Saccharomyces cerevisiae S288C: one gene and its partner. The protein of the gene in region 1 binds, or shares a complex with, the protein of each later gene. Each region holds a gene or a part of one and is shown on either strand. Other genes may lie near its edges. The genes, in order: RPA12 and RPA43.

Region 1 (11,882 bases):
GAAGAAACATTGGACGAAGATCAAGTAAGAGTGCACTTGTCTTTAGTCTGGCATTCCGCTATTTGTATCTTATATAGTTAACAACAACTGTTATTTACTTTCTGGAAAACAACCAACGTTTATTTTTATGAATTAGAATCATTGAGATTGTCTAAACGAGAGGAAGAGAAAGAAAGAGAGAAAGAGAAAAGAAAGCGAAGCAAGATACAATTCCAATGATGTTATCACTGCGCAGGTTCTCCATGTACGTTTTGAGATCTCTGCGGCTTCACTTTAAAAAGATAATCATTACTCTTCTAACTATCCAGTTACTATTCATTACCATATTTGTATTGGGCGGTCGCTCGTCGATTATTGACGGTAACTGGAAGTCATTCATGGCGCTCTTTTTCAAACCGCTTGCTTACACTAACAGAAACAACAACCATGCTTCTTTCGATCTGAGATCAAAAGACAACGTAGCCAAACTTTACGAAAAAATGAATTTTGATACTTCAGGCAAATGGATCGACACGTACACCTTGAAGAATAATCTTCTCACTGTGAAAATGGGTCCTGAAAAAGGGCAAGTTCTTGATTCGGTAGATGAATTGAGATATTACGATAACGACCCAAGGCTGGTATGGTCAGTTTTACTAGATCACTTATTAGAATCAGATTCCAATGAATACGCATTTTCGTGGTACGATTGGGCTAATTTTGACTCTACAAACAAACTCATTGCACTGAGACACACGAACATATCTTGCCAGTTCGTTTGCGAGGGTGCCTTTGATAAAAATGTGCTAGAAATGGTAGAGAGTGAAGTCCAAGAGCCTTTATTCGTCACAAATAGGAATAAATATGACGAATCGCTCTGGTACAACAGGGTAAGAAAGGTTGTCGATTCTAATTCTGTGCAGCAAGCCATACATGATCACTGCATGAATAATGACGCGTATTCCAATGGTACTCCCTTCGAATTGCCTTTTATCATAAGCGAAATTTCTGAAAGGTTGAGGCCAGAAGTGTATGACTTACAAGCCAAAAACCACTTGTTATATTCTAACTTTACTCCACTGTCATTAACCGTACTGGACAGCGATAAAGATGCATACAGAATCAATTTGAAGACAACAGACTCTTCCAAATCAAATATAGTACAGACAAATCTACTACAGAATTACATTAAGAGGCACAGAAATGAAATGGTAAATGGCGACCTCATTTTCAACCACACTTCCATGTTTGAAAAATTTTTACATCATGGATCCACTAAAAAAAGGAAACTTGACGTTGAAGCGTTGGATAAAACAATATACGCTGGAGAGTATCTAGAACTATCACCATCTGATTTCCAATTCAATGCAAAAGAGAGGATCATTGAATTAGAGACCAGGCTCAGGTCTGAAGGCCTACCATCTCATGATACCCACTATTTACGAAGTTTAAAGACGTCCGTAAATACGTCCCCTGCATTACAGCAAAAGTATTTCGCAGAGGCCTCTGATATTACGGACGCGACTGCCGATGGTCATCATAGAGACAGGCGATTTTTCTCAATCGGACATAATCTCCTAAATGACCCTCAGGAGTTTGAAGCAAGATTGAATTCTTTGATCAGAAATTTTCAGAAATTTGTTAAGGCTAACGGATTAATTTCCTGGCTATCGCATGGTACATTGTATGGATATCTATATGATGGTCTGAAGTTTCCCTGGGATGTCGACCATGATTTACAGATGCCCATTAAACATTTACATTACTTGAGTCAATATTTCAACCAATCCCTAATATTAGAAGATCCAAGAGAAGGTAATGGAAGATTCTTACTAGATGTAGGAAGCGCAATTACGGTAGGAGTTCATGGGAACGGCGAAAACAATATTGATGCTCGTTTCATCGATATTGACTCAGGTATATACATTGACATCACGGGACTTAGCGTTAGTTCCGATGCGGCTAAACAGTACATGTCCAAATTTGTAGAAGAAGAAAGCTCGGGCGAAAGCTTTTCTGCCCTTATTGAAGACTATAAGTTTGACGAAAACGACTATTTTGACGAGGTGGATGGTAGAGAAGGTTTAGCTAAATATACCATACATGAATTAATGGAATGGGTTAATTCTCATCCAGACGACTTTACGGATGCAGAAAAGAATTTAGTCACCAAAACATACAAGAAAGAGCTTGCAATTTCGAGAAGCGATTATGCTGAAAAAGACTTGTCTCCGAAACAAAGGTATTTGGTAAATGAGAAGTATAACCTTTACAATTGTAGAAACCAGCATTTTTCCAGTCTAAACATCATATCACCCTTGAGAAATACAATGTTCAGCGGTGTGTCAGCATTTGTTCCTAATAGGCCCATAGCAACATTGAATAATGAGTATAAAGTTCCGGCAAAATACGGGCTTTTGTCATTCCAAGGTAAGGTGTATTTACCGGAATTCAGATACTGGTTCTCGTTTGCAGACATGAAGAAGTTTGCAAATTTGCAGCTGAAAGAACCCAAGATAACACGACTGGAAAGTCCCTTAAATGATTTAAAATTCAGCGACATAAGCCTACTGATAACAAACATTTTAAAATGTGGGTTTCACTCCGTATTTGCCAGCTTATTTAATTCTTTTGACAGTACTGTTTACAGACTCAAAGAGCTTGAAATACAGTATGATCCTAGCTTGAGTGAGGAAGAAAAAAGTAGTCTATTAAAAACTCTACGGCGAGGAATGTCAAAAAAAATAAAATCACCAGAAAAAGATCCGATCATATATATATACGAAAGAAAGTTATGGGAAAACGTGGAAAAGTTGTTGAATGCGTCAAACATCTACAACATTGCTTCACAAGTTGAGAAGGAAAAAGGTAAAGAGTTTGTTGAACGGTCCCAGCAAGTATATGAAAGAAACTTTGACGGCTTCAGACTTCCCGATGGCGGCAACAGTAAGACTGTAAATGATCTGAATTCTAAGGGCTTAAATCTCTTTGGTGATAATAAGAAAACTTCAAACAATATATTTGGTTCAGACCAAAAATATTAAAAAACGTTCCCTTATCCTTCGGAATAGGATAATAACAAAAACCATTATTTATTCATTCTTGCCTCACTTAAATTCGGCCCTTACGGCGACATTTCAATAACATAAATATGCGTGTAACCTTATTAATTTATAATGTCTAATTTATTATAATATTCCTTCACCTAAACACTTCAAATTGGACCTCACGCAATATAGCGCCTTCTAGACCCTTGCCCAAATTACCCAGCAACTCTACGCTTTCATTGAGAGAATCAAGCGAACTCTCATCATCATCCTGTGAACCTTTAGGTTTTTTACCGTTAAATTTATAAATGCCAGAACTTCCTGCAAAAATCGTGGTACCATCTTCAGTACCACATCTGTTAGCTAGCACCAAAATCGCATTCTTTCCTTGGAACTTCCAAGGCTGTCCAAGGGAGGTTCCCAAAAATGTCTTTTCCAGTACTGTATCCTTTATCACTTCCTCAGAATCCAATAAGTCTATTGTGTCCTCCTTGTGCTTTCCATCTTTATAATATTCATGATCTAGGGGCATTCTAGTTTTGCCCAAAATGCTTTCGATAAGAGATGAATTTTTAAACCAATTAATTCTGGATTTAAAGTACAAAAAAGGAAAAAATCGTAGAATCCAGTAGTTTACGTTTGACATATCTGGTTCATCCATATCCTTATATTCACTTGTACTGTCGTCAGAAGGCACTCTGGGCGTACGTTGCGAATCACCAATTTTAAGCTGGTAAATTCCTTGAGATCCTGCCAAAGGCAACCCTTGCTCCTTTAAAGCGAAAGCTATTTTGTTCTTAGCGGCTTCTAATAATGAATTGTTATGTAACGTCTGTTTGTCTGTGATAGAAGTAGAGTTTAACCACGCCATTGGACATAGAATCAATTCAACATTATTGTCAACGCAAAAAGAAGAGAATTCAAAGTGATTAAAGGGGGCCATGAATTTGTAGGGACTTAAGTCCATACAAATACCTATTGATGCTTTCAAAGTCACATCTCTGTTGTAAGAGTCCTCATTAGAAAGCTTAGCACACTTTGAAAAATCCATGGGAAACGTCTGAAATCCCTCTGGATTCTCCTCGCAATCCCAATTCATTTCTGTATCATAGAGAAAAGTCTTTCTGTAATTAAAGATCTGCTCCCCCTGCGGATTTACTACCAGGGCAGAATTGTATAGCTTCTGTTCATCATCATCTTCAGGATATCCTATTATAGTGTAGCATTGAAATTTCTCGGATATTGATTTAGCCAGTTCAAAAGAGGGCCCTTCATCTTTCTTAGTAACATAAGGTAAAATATCTTTTCTGGCATGAAAACTGTAACCTGTCAATGCAAATTCGGGGAATAGTATTATGTCTGGTTTCACATAGGTGGCACTTTTCGTAACTTTATCCAATATTGACCATGTTCTCTTAATTGTTTGATCTACTTGCCCAATTTGCGGATTGAGTTGAATTACTAGTACCTTTAGTGATACTAAAAGTTTTGTGCTCATCTTAGCACCATGAATTGCGTCTATTAGCATTCACTGAATGTCACGATAGAGTTATCGCTGTAAACTAGCACTTTTTAGCATTGAAATGCTTAAAATGTGTGAAACTAAAGTGGTTTTATTTCCAAAGAAGGGTTATCCCTTACTAGGGCAACGAATGAATATCTATTAGGGCTATAAAACAAAAATAGTTAAGTGAGATATATACCCTCTTGAATGGTGCAGGGTAAATAATTATATATCGTTACGAACGAAAGATGAAAAATATGAAAAAAAAAAAAATCAAATTTATGTCAAGTGAAGGGCATTGCATGGCAAGTGTAAAGAATCCAAGAAGAAAAGAAAGGCTTAAAGCAATCCAGGTTAGTACTTATAAGAATGTCTGTTGTAGGATCGTTAATTTTTTGCTTGGACTGTGGTGATCTCCTGGAAAATCCTAATGCCGTATTAGGCTCTAACGTTGAATGCAGCCAATGTAAAGCCATATATCCCAAGTCACAATTCTCCAATTTAAAAGTCGTCACCACGACGGCAGACGATGCGTTTCCATCTTCTCTTAGAGCCAAGAAATCCGTGGTTAAAACTTCTTTGAAGAAGAACGAACTGAAAGACGGCGCTACTATCAAGGAAAAGTGTCCTCAGTGTGGAAATGAAGAGATGAACTATCATACTTTACAGTTAAGATCTGCAGATGAAGGTGCTACTGTCTTCTATACATGCACTTCCTGTGGTTACAAGTTCCGTACCAACAATTGATTGGGTTGTGTTCGCACATATTACAATTTGTACATTAATATCATCCCCGCTTTCATCATGTGAACATCTATAGAACATCATTTATAAAAACAAAAAATCTATGTACTGACGATATAATAGCGTACATTATCATATTATTCTTACTATTTATCATACTCATCGCATCTACTGTTCTCGAGAACGTGTAAAGTGATTTATGCCATTGAATGAAAAATTTTGTTAAGGAACAACTAGAAATATAATAGTGTCTTGGTGGATGTGGCAAATGAGGTGTGCGTGATAAAGAGCTACAAACTCAAAGTAATAACAGCTATCATCCATTTTTATAGCAATATTTGAAAATGGCTGCTCGTCCACAACAACCTCCTATGGAAATGCCGGATCTGTCGAACGCCATTGTGGCACAAGACGAGATGGGTAGACCCTTTATTATCGTGAAGGATCAAGGTAACAAGAAGAGACAGCACGGATTAGAGGCCAAGAAATCACATATATTGGCTGCTAGATCAGTAGCTTCTATTATCAAAACTTCGTTGGGTCCCCGTGGGTTAGATAAGATCTTGATTTCACCTGACGGTGAAATCACCATCACTAACGATGGTGCTACAATTTTGTCCCAAATGGAGCTAGATAATGAGATTGCAAAGTTGTTAGTACAACTTTCCAAATCTCAAGATGATGAAATTGGTGATGGTACTACTGGTGTTGTTGTTCTGGCAAGTGCGCTACTTGACCAAGCATTGGAGTTAATTCAAAAGGGTATACATCCAATCAAAATCGCTAATGGATTTGATGAAGCCGCCAAATTAGCCATTTCCAAGTTAGAAGAAACATGTGACGACATTTCTGCGTCAAACGATGAATTGTTCAGGGACTTTTTATTGAGGGCCGCCAAAACTTCTTTGGGCTCCAAAATTGTTTCCAAGGATCATGATAGATTTGCTGAAATGGCTGTGGAAGCCGTCATAAATGTCATGGACAAAGATCGTAAAGACGTGGATTTCGATTTAATCAAAATGCAAGGACGGGTTGGCGGATCTATAAGCGATTCAAAATTGATTAATGGTGTCATTTTGGATAAAGATTTTTCTCATCCACAAATGCCTAAATGTGTTTTACCAAAAGAGGGCTCTGATGGTGTTAAGTTAGCTATATTAACGTGTCCATTTGAACCTCCTAAACCAAAGACCAAGCATAAATTAGACATTTCTTCAGTAGAAGAATACCAAAAATTACAGACTTATGAACAAGATAAGTTCAAAGAAATGATAGACGATGTGAAGAAAGCGGGCGCAGATGTTGTTATATGCCAATGGGGGTTTGACGATGAGGCCAATCATCTACTTCTACAGAATGATTTACCTGCCGTAAGATGGGTAGGTGGCCAAGAACTAGAACACATTGCCATTTCCACAAACGGTCGCATTGTTCCAAGATTTCAAGACTTGTCTAAGGATAAATTAGGTACATGTTCCAGAATTTACGAGCAGGAGTTTGGTACTACTAAGGATCGTATGCTGATTATCGAGCAAAGTAAAGAAACAAAAACTGTAACATGTTTTGTTCGCGGTTCCAATAAAATGATCGTGGATGAAGCTGAACGTGCATTGCATGACTCACTATGTGTGGTACGTAACTTGGTTAAAGACTCACGTGTAGTTTACGGTGGGGGAGCAGCCGAAGTGACTATGTCCCTGGCTGTCTCTGAGGAAGCTGATAAGCAACGTGGTATTGATCAGTATGCATTCCGTGGATTCGCCCAAGCGTTAGACACCATTCCAATGACTTTGGCTGAAAATTCTGGTCTTGATCCAATCGGAACTTTGTCTACATTGAAAAGTAAACAACTGAAAGAAAAGATTTCCAACATTGGTGTCGATTGCTTAGGTTACGGGTCTAATGACATGAAGGAACTATTTGTCGTTGATCCATTTATTGGCAAAAAGCAGCAAATTCTTTTAGCTACTCAATTATGTAGAATGATTTTAAAGATTGATAACGTCATCATTAGTGGTAAAGATGAGTATTGATTTTGTATAAATAAATAATAAAAGATAAGTTTTAATCACATATCCCACAATTTTTTTTCTCAGATCAGCATTTGGGGTTACTTGATTGTACATATACGTGTATATAATCAGTTGTATACGTATATTTAAATGAAGTGAGGGGCGTTTCAGTTATTTGCATTTGTTTTTGTACCTTTTTCCTTATAAGATGAGTCATGACTCAATAATCAAACCATGTTGAAAAGGCTGAAATTTCTAACAATTTCCGGACCATATTCCTCATAATCTTTCTTAGTGTGACAGTAGCCTTTGAATTCGGCTGTTTGTGCCAGCAGCGAGCCACCAAACCAGACAGCGTTTCTCTGCTTCCGATGAGAAATCACGGAAACATCTACACCAGTCGATTTAGTTCCACTTAACAGCTCACTTTGTGCGATTCTGTTATTTACGATAGACTTTAGATCTCTTTGTAAACGACGTCCAAAATCTTTGAACATGGTAGACCCACCTGATAGTACAATATTGTTGTATAAACCTTTACGGACGTCAATAGGGCAAGCCTGGATAGTTTGATCCACTACCGTGGGTAAAGGAGTCAAGAAGTCTGAGGATGCAATTTCTGGATTGAAGAAGATTTCAGGTGCTAAGAATCTTTCGTAACCAATATCTACGACTTTTCTCCTTGTCTTTTCTTGGTTTTCCACCACAAATTGGGCAAATTTAGAAGGATCTTTATCGAATTTGTTAAACTCCTTTACAATATCTGGACAGACGTAACAGTATTCTTGCTTAATCTTTTCGGCAGTTCTCAAGGAAGTGTCTGCTTCACCACGTTCTCTTAGCAAGGATTGGATGAACAATGTGATGTCTCTACCGGCTATTGGAATGTTTTTAATTGCTGAGCCAATGACGTAACCTTCCGCCACTGGGATGACGTGGGTGACACCATCACCAGAATCTATAACAGTACCAGTTAATGATCTATCCGTGACTTTTGAAGAGGTCCATGACGCAGCCAGAGCCAAAACTGCTTGCACAGCAATATATAGACCAGCACAATTAAATGATTCAAAAAAAATCTCCGCCACTTGCTCTCTGTTTTCTGGAGGATTCAGTGGTGGTTCGGTCAATAGGAAAAAATGATCTTCAGGCTCTGTTCTTAAATACTTGAAGATGGAATTTTCCCAGAATCTTTCCATGTGATCCCAATTTTCCACTTGACCGTGTCTGATTGGATAGCTCAAAGAGTAAGAGGGTCCTTGGGATGCTACTAAAGCCTCATTTCCAATATAGAAATCCAAATCTTCTGTACCTCTTTTACCGGATAAATTATTAGACAGCAAACCACCTGTTGCACCATTGAAATTGGTTGCAGAGGTGGAATTTCCAAAGTATGATGCTTCATTACTAACTGCTGAGGGCGCACCAACGCCCGAGGACTTCTTTGTATTTGAAGGTGCAGCTGTGGCTATTGCAGTAGGGAAGACCCAGGAGGGAGAATCATTACCGGCGAAACCGAGCTTGGTCAGCCCGGTACCATTGTCCATGACAACAGCGGGATTGTTTAAGTATGACATTGAATCCTAATTTCTTGCTCAATCGTGAGGCCTTACGGTAGGGCCAATTCTTGATTAAACTACTCTCATATATTTTTGTTTGAAACTTTTGAAAAGGGGTTCTCGCCATTTTGAAGCCGCGGACAGCCGGGTGACTACTGAAAGTCCTTATCGAAGGGTCTTCTTGAGCTTACGTTAAAAAAGAGCCATAGTAGCTTCACGAGAGAGTCATTGGTAAAGTGAAACATACATCAACCGGCTAGCAGGTTTGCATTGATATGGAACCGCATGAGGAGCAGATTTGGAAGAGTAAACTTTTGAAAGCGGCTAACAACGATATGGACATGGATAGAAATGTGCCGTTGGCACCGAATCTGAATGTGAATATGAACATGAAAATGAATGCGAGCAGGAACGGGGATGAATTCGGTCTGACTTCTAGTAGGTTTGATGGAGTGGTGATTGGCAGTAATGGGGATGTAAATTTTAAGCCCATTTTGGAGAAAATTTTCCGCGAATTAACCAGTGATTACAAGGAGGAACGAAAATTGGCCAGTATTTCATTATTTGATCTACTAGTATCCTTGGAACATGAATTGTCGATAGAAGAGTTCCAAGCAGTTTCAAATGACATAAACAATAAGATTTTGGAGCTGGTCCATACAAAAAAAACGAGCACTAGGGTAGGGGCTGTTCTATCCATAGACACTTTGATTTCATTCTACGCATATACTGAAAGGTTGCCTAACGAAACTTCACGACTGGCTGGTTACCTTCGAGGGCTAATACCTTCTAATGATGTAGAGGTCATGAGACTCGCTGCAAAGACTCTGGGCAAGTTAGCCGTTCCAGGAGGTACATATACCTCTGATTTCGTGGAATTTGAGATAAAGTCTTGCTTAGAATGGCTTACTGCCTCCACGGAAAAGAATTCATTCTCGAGTTCGAAGCCAGACCATGCTAAACATGCTGCGCTTCTGATTATAACAGCGTTGGCAGAGAATTGTCCTTATTTACTCTACCAATACTTGAATTCCATACTAGATAACATTTGGAGAGCACTAAGAGACCCACATTTGGTGATCAGAATTGATGCGTCCATTACATTGGCCAAATGTCTTTCCACCCTACGAAATAGGGATCCTCAGTTAACTAGCCAGTGGGTGCAGAGATTGGCTACAAGTTGTGAATACGGATTTCAAGTAAACACATTAGAATGCATCCATGCAAGTTTGTTGGTTTATAAGGAAATCTTGTTTTTGAAGGATCCCTTTTTGAATCAAGTGTTCGACCAAATGTGTCTAAATTGCATAGCTTATGAAAATCATAAAGCGAAAATGATTAGAGAAAAGATTTACCAGATTGTTCCCCTATTAGCATCGTTCAATCCTCAATTATTTGCTGGCAAATATTTGCACCAAATTATGGACAACTATTTAGAGATTTTAACCAATGCTCCAGCAAATAAAATACCACATCTCAAAGATGACAAACCACAGATTTTAATATCGATTGGTGATATTGCATATGAAGTCGGGCCCGATATCGCACCTTATGTGAAACAAATTCTTGATTATATTGAACATGATTTACAGACGAAATTCAAATTCAGAAAGAAATTTGAAAATGAAATTTTCTACTGCATCGGAAGATTGGCAGTTCCCTTGGGCCCCGTTCTAGGTAAATTATTAAACAGAAATATACTGGACCTGATGTTCAAATGCCCTCTTTCCGACTATATGCAGGAAACGTTTCAAATTCTGACTGAGAGAATACCATCACTAGGCCCCAAAATAAATGACGAGTTGCTTAACCTAGTCTGTTCAACCTTATCTGGAACACCATTTATCCAGCCAGGGTCACCAATGGAGATACCATCGTTTTCGAGAGAAAGAGCAAGAGAATGGAGAAATAAAAACATCCTACAGAAAACTGGTGAAAGTAACGATGATAATAATGATATAAAAATCATTATACAAGCTTTTAGAATGTTAAAAAATATCAAAAGCAGATTTTCGTTGGTGGAATTCGTGAGAATTGTTGCACTTTCTTACATTGAGCATACAGATCCCAGAGTAAGGAAACTAGCTGCGTTGACATCTTGTGAAATTTACGTCAAGGATAACATCTGCAAACAAACATCACTACACTCTCTGAACACTGTATCTGAAGTGTTATCAAAGCTTCTAGCCATTACGATTGCGGACCCTTTACAAGATATCCGTTTAGAAGTTTTAAAGAATCTTAATCCATGTTTCGATCCCCAGTTGGCACAACCAGATAATTTGAGACTCTTGTTTACTGCACTGCACGATGAGTCGTTCAATATTCAGTCAGTAGCAATGGAGCTTGTCGGTAGGTTGTCTTCCGTAAACCCTGCATACGTCATCCCATCGATAAGAAAAATACTACTGGAACTGCTAACAAAATTAAAATTCTCAACTTCTTCTCGAGAAAAGGAAGAAACTGCCAGTTTGTTATGTACTCTTATCAGGTCGAGTAAAGATGTTGCGAAACCTTATATCGAACCTCTTTTAAATGTTCTTTTACCAAAATTCCAAGATACCTCTTCAACGGTTGCATCAACTGCACTGAGAACTATAGGTGAGCTATCTGTTGTAGGGGGCGAAGATATGAAGATATATCTTAAGGATTTGTTTCCTTTAATTATCAAAACATTTCAGGATCAATCAAACTCTTTCAAGAGAGAAGCTGCACTTAAGGCCCTTGGTCAACTTGCAGCCTCATCTGGTTACGTGATAGATCCTTTACTCGACTATCCCGAATTATTGGGTATATTGGTGAATATATTGAAGACAGAAAACTCTCAAAATATTAGGAGACAAACAGTCACTTTGATAGGTATACTGGGAGCTATCGACCCATATCGCCAAAAAGAACGTGAGGTTACCTCTACTACCGATATATCTACAGAACAGAACGCCCCGCCTATCGACATTGCTCTTCTCATGCAGGGCATGTCTCCTTCGAATGATGAGTATTATACCACTGTTGTCATTCACTGCCTGCTAAAAATCCT
Region 2 (12,408 bases), on another chromosome or scaffold:
ACTAGAACAATTTGAATCTTGCTCAGCACGCTCTGTCTTACGTATATATCCAATTTCAGTTGATTCGAAAGACATGAAAGATTATTAATGTGTGCATTACCCGGATTGTCAATAACTCATATAGTTAGTATACTAATTAACTAACTATATAACGTGGCATATTAAAGATTAATTGTCCTGGTAGAATATAGACGTATCAGTGTGAGTGCCTCTGTTGATTATGAGACTACTTGCGTTGGTATTGTTATTGTTGTGTGCGCCGCTTCGTGCATGGACTTATAGCTTACGATATGGCATACCCGAATCTGCTCAGGTCTGGTCTATTTTAGTTCATTTACTGGGCGATGTTGATAATCAGCTGTTAACTAATTTATATCCTTTGGTTACCGGTTTGGATGACGAGATTGATATTCAAGAAAATCTTGTGGCGCTAACTTCCAATGTATTAAGGGAGCGATACGATAAAGAGGATGTGGCTGATTTATTGGAACTGTATGCTAGTCTTTACCCTATGGGTATGATACAGCACGATATCAGTTCCAATGCAGAACAAGACGATGCAAATAGTAGCTATTTCGTTTTGAATGGTAATAGGTACGAAAAGCCCGACGACGTGTTCTACTTGAAATCTAAGGATTTAACAATTCAACAGAAAGTCCCAGATGTTGATGTTATACAACCTTACGATGTTGTCATTGGTACTAACTCAGAAGCGCCGATATTGATCTTGTACGGTTGTCCTACCGTTATTGACTCCGACTTCGAAGAATTCAATAGGAATTTATTTATGGAAGCAATGAATGGAGAGGGAAAATTTAGATTTATTTGGAGATCCACATGTTCCCTTGATGGGAAAAGCGTGGAGTATCCCTTAACTCATCCGCTTGAAATTACTTTACAAAATGGTTCTAGAATGAGCTCCATACCTCAATTAAAAAAAATACTATATACTGTACCCAAAGAAATATTGGTTGGAGCAGACAACGATGATCAGCTCCATGATCTAGAACCAGAAGAATTACGTGAACTTGATTTGAGAGTAACATCGTTAATCTCAGAATTTTACCAATATAAAAAGGATATCACAGCCACTCTAAATTTCACCAAAAGTATTGTTAACAACTTTCCACTAATCTCTAAACAACTGATTAAGGTTTCATCTGTTAACAAGGATATAATAACAAGTAATGAAGAACTCAATAGTAAAGGCTTCGATTACAACATGCTAGGTCTCTATATTAATGGACAGAATTGGAAAATTACCTCACTGACTCCGTACAATTTGCTTACTGCTTTAAAAACTGAATACCAAAGTTTACTGAAAATTACGAACCTTTTGCAAGAACTCGAGCCATCGAAATGCATACTAGATTCCAAGTTTTTACTCAATAAGTTTTCTCAATTTTCATTGGGGAAGTTGCAAAACTTACAACCAATCAAAATGGATCTCCACACAATTCCAGGGTTCTCAGAATCAGTAATATACTTCAATGATATCGAAAGCGACCCGCAATATGACGAATTAGTAAATAGTGTTCAAGCATTTTTTGATAAATCGAAATTCGGAGAGTTGCCTGAAATAAAGCAAAACTGGTCAGAGATCATATTCGTTATAGATTTCGCCCGTTTAGAAGATAGTGAGGTGAAGGAGGCATTGGGTGGGTTGGTTCGTGCCGTTAATGTTGTCTCCCAGGGATATCCGCAAAGAGTCGGACTATTGCCATTTAGTTCAGATAGTGACAAGTCCGTTGTTAATAAAATTTACGAGCTGAAGAACTCAACTGACAATTTAACAGAATTAAAAAGTTTTTTGGAGACAATGCTGCTTGCAGATGGCCTTTCCGCGAATGCAAAACATTCAAAACACATACCAGTTCCAGATGTTTTCCATCTACTTGATGAACTTCAAATTGACGAAACATCAATTATAATCAATGGAGAGATTTACCCATTTAGAAAAAATGCTTGGAATTATTTAATTGCAAAAGTTATCAAAAAGGACACTGAATTTATTCGTAAAGAATTGAGCAATTCTTCTCCGAAAAACAAACAAATTAGCGTAAGGGACTTATTGCATTACAAATCTGCAAATCTGAGACATAATAAATATACACCAAATTATTTTGCTGATTCGGTATATTCTTCGGTCAACAATACTGCATTGGAAAGCGTATGCTCAGAAAGAATAGGCTACTATACTAAAAATGAAGAATACAATTTATTACACACAATCACATTAGTGGATGATTTTGGCTCTATTCATGCTTTGAAAAGATTGAGAAACTTGTTGCATACTTCCTTTGTTGGTGTTAGGATCAGAATCATTCACGTAGGTGATATTTCTGATATTTGGTATCAATTGCGTGGAAGTCTTTCCCAAAAAGATCCAATAGGCTCAATAAATACATTTATTGATGCTTTGAAACTTAAAAAGGTAAAAAGTCACACGTACAAAAAAAGCGGCTTAAACCAGTTAGGCCTTCATAAATGGCTTCCTGACATTCCATTATTTGAATTGCAAAAGGGTTCATTTATTGCTTTGAACGGTAGATTTATTCATCTTGATCAAAATGAAGTGCCAGAAACAGAACATTTCGAAGCAATCATAAAGAGAGAAGCTCTAAGAACGATCGATTCAGTTTTCGCCCTAGATTTACTTTTTCCAGGTTTCTCACAGGAAATAATCAATCCTGATTTGATAGAAATGATCTCCTCCATTTTAACTAGGTTGTTTTACCAAGGTACACATATATACAATAATGGTATTGATTATACCACTGAAAGTAGCTTACCAAGAATGGATTTGAGCGAGTTTTTTAGACCTAATAATTTAACGATGTTTGAAGATGGAAAATCAGCTTCTATTGATTTACTACTAATTTTAGATCCACTTGAAGAGAGAACGCAAATGATTCTTTCTCTTGTTGAGCAATTCAGGCCTTTGAAATTTGTTAATATTCAGGTAATTTTAATGCCGACACTGGAATTAAACATTGTCCCTATTAGAAGAATATACGTTGATGACGCAGATATTGTCAAATCAATAACTTCTGAGGATAGCAGATCAGATCCAGAAGTAGATATTGAAATGGATGTTCCTAATTCTTTCATTGTAGATAATAATTATCGGATAAAAAAATTGCTCATAGAATTACATTCCTTCTCTAGCAAAACAGTCCTTTCAACTGGCAATATTGATGGTATGGGGGGTGTATGCCTAGCACTTGTCGATTCTGCAGGGAACATTATTGACAAAACTACAACAATGAAAACCTTTGGCTATGGACAATTTCATACCGACAAATTTTTAAAGGGTTGCTATATAAAAAGTTGTGATTCAAGATATACCGTTCAGTCATTTTCTACTGACGGGCATCCCGACTTTATACCATCAGATTCCTTGGATATACTGTCGTACAATCCACAAAAAATCGCTGTAAAAATTTCAGAAGAGCCTACACACGAGGAAGAATACGAGGAAGGTCGCAACAATGATACAATAATCAATATTTTTACTATTTTAGAGTCCGGGCCAGATGAGGAAGAGAGGTACATGCAAATGATTTTATCCATTTTGTCAAAGTGTCCCGAAACGCAAAAGGTGAATTTTTTCATTTTAGATCAGCCGTTTATCTCCGACACTTTAAGGAAATCATGTGAGTATATAAATTCCTCTGATGAAATGAGAGGCAATGTCATTTTTTTGAATTATGAATGGCCTCAATGGTTAAGACCGCAAAGATTTTCTTCAAGGAGAAGGGATGTCTCTAGATTTCTGTTCTTGGATGTCCTTTTACCTCAAAACATCTCCAAAGTGTTATATATGAGTCCAACTGAAGTACCGCTGGATCCTTTTGACATTTTTCAATTTCAAGGCCTCAAACGTGCACCTCTAGGACTATTCCGAATGAGTGGTGATGGTTATTGGAAAGAAGGATACTGGGAAAAAATGTTAAGGGAGAATAATTTAGAATTTTATTCTACCGAACCGGCCTTTTTAGTAAACTTAGAGAGGTTTCGGGAGTTAGATGCTGGTGATAAATACAGGATTCACTATCAACGTATTTCTACAGACGCCATGTCTCTTGTCAATATCGGCCAAGATCTAGTTAACAACCTACAACTCGAGGTTCCGATTAGGTTTCTCAAGGGATCGTATAAGAAGAAATTAGTTATTAATGATGAATGTGTTTCTGAATGGAAGAAAAAAATAAATAAGTTCGCATCCTCTCCTGGCGATGAAGACGTACCTGGAGAAAGTGTTAGCAGCAAATACCAAGATTCCGACAATGCCGCTCCTCTGCATGACGAATTATAACTACTCGCAGGAAGAGTTCATTACGCGACGGTTCCAAGAGCGTGAAAGAATTGCTTCTGCGCATAAGTCTTCTTCCATAATAGATTTTTATATCATTTTTAGAACATAAAATTTCTCGCCAAGAGTTTTTTAAGTAAAAGCAGATTATCCAGTAACATGGGTTCCGCTTTTTGAGCGAATACTATGAACGAGTTTTGCCCGTGCTCCCCATGACTCATTAGATTCTTTGATGACAAAAGATCACTGGCAGAAGTCTGTTTCGCTTCTTTTCTTTTTTTTTTTTTTTTTTTTTTTTTTCGAGCAGATTGCAATCAGCGATGAGACAAAAATGGAAAGTAGGTATGGGCTGACGATTGCCTAAACGGTTATCAATTGGTTACTATAAACGCCTCTATTATATGAATATACCTATTTATTGAATCCCTTCATTAATATTTAAGAAGACAGAGGCTATATATCATCTGGATCAAAAAATGACAGCGCCATTGTGGCCAAACAAGAATGAAAAAAACCACACAGTTAAAAGAGCGTTATCAACGGATATGACCAGCAATATTTTGAGTAGCACAAACGCGAGCTCAAACGAAGAAAATTCTAGGAGTTCTTCTGCAGCCAATGTACGCTCCGGAACAGGTGCAAATACACTTACTAATGGCGGCAGTACTAGAAAGAGACTTGCGTGCACTAATTGTAGAAATAGAAGGAAAAAATGTGATTTAGGATTTCCCTGTGGTAACTGTTCCAGGTTGGAATTGGTTTGTAATGTTAATGACGAGGACTTAAGAAAGAAGCGGTACACTAATAAATATGTCAAGTCTTTGGAGAGCCATATTGCTCAACTGGAGACCAACTTAAAAAACCTAGTTCAGAAGATCTACCCTGACGATGAGCAAATACTGAACCGAATGATGGTAGGTGATGTATTATCAGCTCTACCAGACAGTTCACAAGTCTCAATCAATTATACTGACCAAACTCCCTCTCTTCCAATTCCCGCAACCAGAGGTACATTCATTATTGAAAACGATAAGGTCAGTCAACCTCTATCGTCCTTTAACCAACAAACAGAGCCATCTACTCTAAACTCGGGTATCTTCAACACCCAAAAACAAAATTTCGAAGAATCCCTTGATGATCAGTTACTTTTACGAAGATCGTTAACACCGCAAGGTGAAAAAAAGAAGAAACCGTTGGTAAAAGGTAGTCTTTATCCTGAAGGACCTGTCAGTTACAAACGGAAGCACCCCGTAAAATCGGACAGTTTATTGCCTGTGTCTTCGTTAACAGCTGCTACAGACCCATCTACTTTTTCTGACGGTATAACTGCTGGTAATTCCGTCCTAGTTAATGGTGAACTGAAAAAACGTATATCCGACTTGAAGACCACCGTAATAGTAAGAGGACTAAACGATGATAATCCCAACTCTATCAATAACGATCCCAGGATTTTAAAATCTCTTTCCAATTTCTATAAGTGGCTGTATCCAGGTTATTTTATTTTTGTTCACAGAGAAAGTTTTCTTTATGGATTCTTCAATCACTCCAAGAATAACTATGAAGACTCAAGTTACTGTTCTGTCGAATTGATATATGCCATGTGCGCTGTCGGTTCGAGGCTTACACCGGATCTACAAGAATATTCAGAAGTGTATTATCAACGAAGTAAGAAGACTTTATTACAGCTCGTCTTTGATGAGCAAAGTACAGCCCGTATCACCACCGTCCAAGCGCTATTTTGCTTAGCCTTTTACGAACTGGGGAAGGGTAATAATCAATTAGGGTGGTACTTCTCGGGCCTGGCTATCAGGGTCGGCTACGACATGGGATTTCAACTGGACCCTAAAGTCTGGTACGTTGATGATAACAATCTGCAGCTGACCCAAAGTGAGTTGGAAATAAGATCAAGGATTTACTGGGGTTGCTATATAGCGGATCATTTTATTTGCCTGATGTTGGGTAGAACGTCCACATTAAGCGTTAGTAACTCAACCATGCCAGAGTCGGATGAGCTGCCAGAAGTCAACGGCACCGAAGAGTTCAGATTTATTGGAAGACATGTTTTACAGATATCCTTGCCTCTGAAAAACTTGATAATTCTATCAAGGCTTGTACAAATCTTCACCTCTAAAATTTTCATCGAGTCGGAAGATATAGCACGAAAACTAAAGTACTTGAACACTTTCAATTCTCAGGTTTACAACTGGAGACAATCTCTACCGGAATTTTTGCAATGGTCGAAAACACTCATCGAGAACGATGACGTATCCACAGACCCCACTATATCTTACTTCTGGTATTGCTACTACATAGTGCGGCTCACCTTTAACAAGCCATTTATAGAAGACTCTCAAGAATCCGAAACGGTAGTCATAGAGATCATCGATGATTTGAAGACTTTGCTGGACAATTTCGGGAAAAAATTCGGAAACTACACGAAGGGAAACCTTTACCAACTTTACTCATGCCTGTTGGCCATCAACTGTTTGAAGAAGTTGAAAGAGATACGTTCCAGTGAGCAAGACTCATGGAATGCACAATTGGATTTTTTCAATCACATCTTCTACACACAACTATATCCCGCATATGATCTGCCGAAAAAGCTGCAGGAGGATACGGAGCTGGAAACAGAACAAGAAAACCAGATGTTGAACCAAGTTGGAAATATAAACTACACGCACGATTTTTCACTCTCCCACGAAATTGACGATCTTATCAGAGAACTGTTTGGGGTGGGCACACCTCAAAAACTCTGACGATCTTTATATTTGTCACCTTTTCCGTATCGGCGGCTAAAAGGCGATGCGGTGCACAGGCGCGGGGTCCCTGGGAAAAAGAAATGTTCAAATTAACATTTCTTTTTCTTGTTTTGTGGCTCTTCTAGAAGGATTTTTAATCAGCATAGCCTGCGTTAAAATTTTTTACCGGATCTTATATATCTAAGACATCTACTCTGTTTAAATACTTAACGAACATCATAGAGAATCAACTAATAATATAGATTAGAAAAGAGAATTTTTTTCGACTGCGATGCTAGATAACATGCAATTTCATTCTCCAGCACCGGAACATCCTCAATTGAATGGGGGTATTAACAAAATTCCCGCTTCCCACAAAATAGGTTACAAATTAAACCAGCAAGTGCAGAGATTGGCTGTGGTCAGGAATAATATTGAAGAGAGATTGAACTCGATGGAATCCTCACACGGACAGATATCCGATAGTAGCGTTGTCCGTGCTATCGATGCAAGTATCGATGACTTCCTAATACCTTCACCTCCATTATCGCCAAAGCTGAGGCAATGCCCCATAATAAGCCAGCCTCAGCTGGTTAATGTGGAAAGCGACCATAGGGAGCTGATCATGTTGACCCCCGTTTGGGAAGCGGGCTTGAACTCTCAGAAGTACAACCATAATACAAGGAATTTCTTATCGCAATATAGCTTCTTCCGAGATATGAAAACAACGAAAAGGATTCCTAACAAAGAAAATAGGAAATTGAAAGTGGTAAAATCTGTTGTGAACTCAGAAGCTCTGCCCAAGAGAAGAAGATACGATAGGAAAATTAAGAGAAGATCAAGGGAGTTGTACGAAGATGATGGAAACAGGTCAGAAAACTATGATGAAGAAAGTGCTCAAGAAGTTCCAGTTAGATCAGTGACTCCGATACGTCAAGTTAAAAGGTCTCTTCATACTATTTCTTCGCCATTGGCCTCACAGGGCGTAGTGAATAATGTCCCCAAGTATATTCCAAGCATGTCGTGGGAAAAGTTGCCGGATTACTCACCTCCTCTTCACACTTTGCCGAATAGTAATAATAAAGTTTTAAAAGTGGAATGGAAAGGCTCTCCAATGGACTTGAATCATGATCCTCTCAAACAGCGTCTGCATCCTGCAGAACTAGTTCTCGCACAGATTCTGAGACTTCCATGTGATCTTTATTTGGACTCTAAAAGAAGATTTTTCTTGGAAAAAGTTCATAGATTCAAAAAGGGGTTGCCGTTCAGGAGAACGGATGCTCAAAAGGCTTGTAGAATAGACGTTAATAAAGCATCAAGGCTATTTGCAGCATTTGAAAAGGTAGGTTGGTTACAAGATAAACATTTTGAAAAGTATTTGTAAGAAAGAGGCGGTACGCCTTTGGGATAGCGTATCGTTTCATCGTTTAAACGAGCAAATTTGATAAGTACGGAATATGACAGTCTCATTGAGTAATACAGAATTGAGGCGTTTAAATGGTTATGGTTAAGGGTTACGGTTACGGTTTTTTATTCTTAGAACACATTTGATATATTTTTATTTATGGTTTTTTACATATAGATTTCGTTCATATATGAGGTTTTCTTTTTATATTAATTATATTTCTTCGGTTGTTACGTTATCAATTTTGTTATTGAATTATTACGGGTTATGAACGCCGTAGAAAAATAGCATTGGAGTTTGAGAGTCTGTGGCTTTTCTGTCACATCATTTTTTCGTCTAACTTAGGTTAACTCAGTAATCGTCGATTTCTTCATAACAGGCCAGGACCTTTTTTCTGTATTCCTCCATATCTGCATCCCAAAGTTCTGCTGCCACAGCGTTCAGCGGAGATCTGTTATTTGGTTCGCCAAGTAATGACTGCAATGACAATAGAATTGTTTCTACATTATACACTGCAGACCATTTCTCTTTCAGAATGTCCAAACAAATGTTGCCACTCTTATCCACGTTTGGATGCCACATTGGACTCAAAAATTTAATCATTGGCGGATGGAAAGGATAGTTTTGAGGAAACTTCAATGAAACCTTGAATTTAAGTCCACTATACGGTGTGTCTTTAGGGCCTGTAATATACCCTACCCAGTATGTTAAATCATTATCGTCTACGGGAAACGCACTAATACTTTCTGTTGTAGAACTAAGTAGCTGTAGCAGCTCATTTTGTAAACGTTTCGTCACGCAACCACCCTCTTCTACTGCCATTCTATACTAGCAAGCCTCGAATCATACAGGTTTTGTAGCACCTATAAGATGTAAAATATGAAAAATTTTTTCTGATATCTCATTTATCCAGTGTCAGAAGCATGTTTTGTGTCGCTATTAGTCAACGCTTTTTCCTTGAAAATCTCTTTCTAATAATGACATCATTAAAAAGAGTCCATTAACGTTATAAAGGAAAAATATTTCAAATTAAGCTTCATTACTGTTGATATATTGTCGAATTTGCCACGGTTTAGCTACGTATGCAGGACTATTGATTATCAGCACTGTAATAATGTACAATTATTTATATTATCCTATATCAATAACGTATATCTTTATTTGTTTTGATTTTTTCTCATTTTTCCCGTCCTAATCACTATCACTCGATTCACCATCATTGCTTTCACTGGTGTTTTCCTCGTATACGATCTCTGAACCATTATCTTCTTTTACTTCAGGTAAGTCTAGTTCCTTGTGGCTCTCTTTGTTTTCGATTGAAACTTCGTCATCAAATACAATTTTTTTGTTTGAAACTATAGGTAAACTTTCAGCTTGGGAACGAGAGCTGTTATAGCCATTGCCTTCTTCGTCGGCGTCACTTATTAATGTACCGTCCACAGAAACAACTCTTCCTGTAGTATGAACATTTCTCACTGTGAACCTCAATTTACCGTCAATGGGTTCACCATTAGAATCTACCCAGTGGCCCAAAGATCTGTTTCCAAAGGAAAATTTGCCCAAACTATTGCTTCCACCATTGCTATCCTTGTTATCTTCGTTATTATTGTTTCCATTATTTTCATCTGTGTTTATCACGTCAGCATCTTCTTCCACGTCGTTATGGACAAAGGTCCAATCCACAGGGATATTATTCTTTTTGATACTAGCATTAAACGCATCATGAATCAAAAGACCAATGTGTGAGGCGGATTGAATGAAAATGTAACCTTCCAAAACATCTCCAACTTGTGGCTGCCAAACGTATAGGTTTACATGGCACCAAGTAAATCCAAAAGGGGTATCGGGTGTGATTTTTATTAGTTTTTCTGATGTATCTTCTTTGCTTAAAGGATCAGCATCAAGAATTTTCAACCCTTCATAACCTAGCACAACACCTCCAACTTTGTTGTTATATTTCATTACTAATGGGTTCAAGTGCTGCTTCATGACACCTTGCAAGGGATTTTCTAAATACATTGGTGCCAAAGAAACATAGAGAGCAATGGGAACACGCACTATACAGTTGGAAGTTCCATTTTTCTCATCAATTGGGTTTGTAACCTGTTTTTTGTGTTTCTTGATGAACCTTGCGGTTTCGCGGTTCTCATTGGCTCTTTTTACTTGTGACATAATCCACGTTTGTCTCTTATCTTTCTGATATTATTATATATAAGCAAAAAAACGAGGGAGTGTATAACGATAGTCCCTTCGGCTCTATTTTATTGTAAACCTCCACTACATTGTCATATTTGCGATGCCATTAGTATTTTATTGCAGAAAAATTTTTTTCAAACCACCCATACACCCTCATCGGAATCTTTTCATTTCAAAGCGACAGTAATATTTTCTGTCAAGAATACACAAAGGATACACTTGCAGCTGGAATAAGCAAGATTCCACCAAGTTTCTTCTACCTGAAATACATCTATTACGGGGCCTTGATTAAAAGTAACTTAACTTCGCAGTTAAATTTAACTTTACAAGAACGGCATATGATCAGATCGTATCCTTGCCCGCTATCGGAGGGTCTCAGAATTACATCTTATACTGTTTCGAGTTTCTTATGTCTCCTCTTATAGCTAAAATGATTTGAACTTAGAAATTATCGAGGATAGAAGTAAGGCGTTGCATTTCCTTATAACTATCGTGTTTATTTTCTTAGTGGTGGTTCTTTTATTATTACCCGTTTTCTTCGGTAATATTTTATAGTGAAAAATTTTGGTAAAAAAAAAAAAAAAGAAAAAATTTTTTTTATTTCAAATCTCATCTCATCTCTTAAAAAGGTTTATTCTGTTTACTCAAACTCTTCATCAAAAACAAAAGTACTGCGCTAATAATTCTGGTCTTAGGTATCCATTAACTATACAGTGAACTTTATCCTTTTTCTGCTTTTTTTTTGCCGTACTTCGATTATAATCAAAGCCAGAAAGAAAAATGGATATTTCTAAACCGGTTGGTTCTGAAATCACATCCGTTGATTTCGGGATCCTAACAGCTAAAGAGATTAGAAATCTATCAGCAAAGCAAATTACCAATCCTACGGTTTTAGATAACTTAGGTCATCCAGTATCAGGCGGTTTATATGACTTAGCCTTAGGTGCATTCTTAAGGAATCTGTGTTCTACTTGTGGTTTGGATGAAAAATTCTGTCCAGGTCACCAAGGTCACATTGAATTACCTGTCCCTTGTTATAATCCATTGTTCTTTAACCAGCTATATATTTATTTGAGGGCATCATGTTTATTCTGTCATCATTTCCGTTTAAAGTCAGTAGAGGTTCATCGTTACGCATGTAAATTGAGATTGTTACAATACGGTTTGATAGACGAATCTTACAAACTAGATGAAATAACTTTGGGCTCTCTTAATAGCAGTATGTACACTGACGACGAAGCTATTGAAGATAATGAGGATGAAATGGATGGTGAAGGAAGCAAGCAATCAAAGGATATTTCCTCCACTCTCTTAAATGAACTGAAAAGTAAGCGTTCAGAATATGTTGACATGGCCATCGCTAAAGCTTTGTCAGACGGCAGAACTACTGAGAGAGGCTCTTTCACAGCTACTGTAAATGATGAACGAAAGAAATTGGTCCATGAGTTTCACAAAAAACTATTATCTAGAGGTAAGTGTGATAACTGTGGTATGTTTTCGCCAAAATTTAGAAAGGATGGTTTTACAAAAATCTTCGAAACTGCGTTGAATGAAAAACAAATTACAAATAACAGAGTAAAAGGTTTCATTCGTCAAGATATGATTAAGAAGCAAAAACAGGCTAAGAAATTGGACGGTTCTAACGAAGCATCTGCAAATGACGAAGAAAGTTTTGACGTTGGTAGAAATCCTACCACCAGACCAAAAACCGGCTCAACATATATTTTATCTACTGAAGTGAAGAATATTCTGGA

Evidence for each region.
Region 2: RPA12 (region 1) and RPA43 share a complex: the UniProt entries of both Saccharomyces cerevisiae proteins name them as parts of the RNA polymerase I (Pol I) complex.

The regions. Positions count from the first base shown.
Region 1 is NC_001142.9:550,296-562,177, forward strand, and holds RPA12 (DNA-directed RNA polymerase I core subunit RPA12), read left to right. Parts: upstream 1-4,899; coding exon 4,900-5,277; downstream 5,278-11,882. Other genes in the region: MNN14 (Mnn14p), read left to right, coding at 216-3,023; NTA1 (amidase), read right to left, coding at 3,181-4,554; chaperonin-containing T-complex subunit CCT5, read left to right, coding at 5,619-7,307; ARP3 (actin-related protein 3), read right to left, coding at 7,514-8,863; phosphatidylinositol kinase-related protein kinase TOR1, read left to right, coding at 9,121-11,882. UniProt on the Saccharomyces cerevisiae protein: DNA-dependent RNA polymerases catalyze the transcription of DNA into RNA using the four ribonucleoside triphosphates as substrates. Component of RNA polymerase I (Pol I) which synthesizes ribosomal RNA precursors.
Region 2 is NC_001147.6:949,553-961,960, forward strand, and holds RPA43 (DNA-directed RNA polymerase I subunit RPA43), read right to left. Parts: upstream 10,631-12,408; coding exon 9,650-10,630; downstream 1-9,649. Other genes in the region: KRE5 (Kre5p), read left to right, coding at 221-4,318; TEA1 (Tea1p), read left to right, coding at 4,792-7,071; YOR338W (uncharacterized protein), read left to right, coding at 7,346-8,437; putative E2 ubiquitin-protein ligase UBC11, read right to left, coding at 8,810-9,280; DNA-directed RNA polymerase I core subunit RPA190, read left to right, coding at 11,435-12,408. UniProt on the Saccharomyces cerevisiae protein: DNA-dependent RNA polymerases catalyze the transcription of DNA into RNA using the four ribonucleoside triphosphates as substrates. Component of RNA polymerase I (Pol I) which synthesizes ribosomal RNA precursors.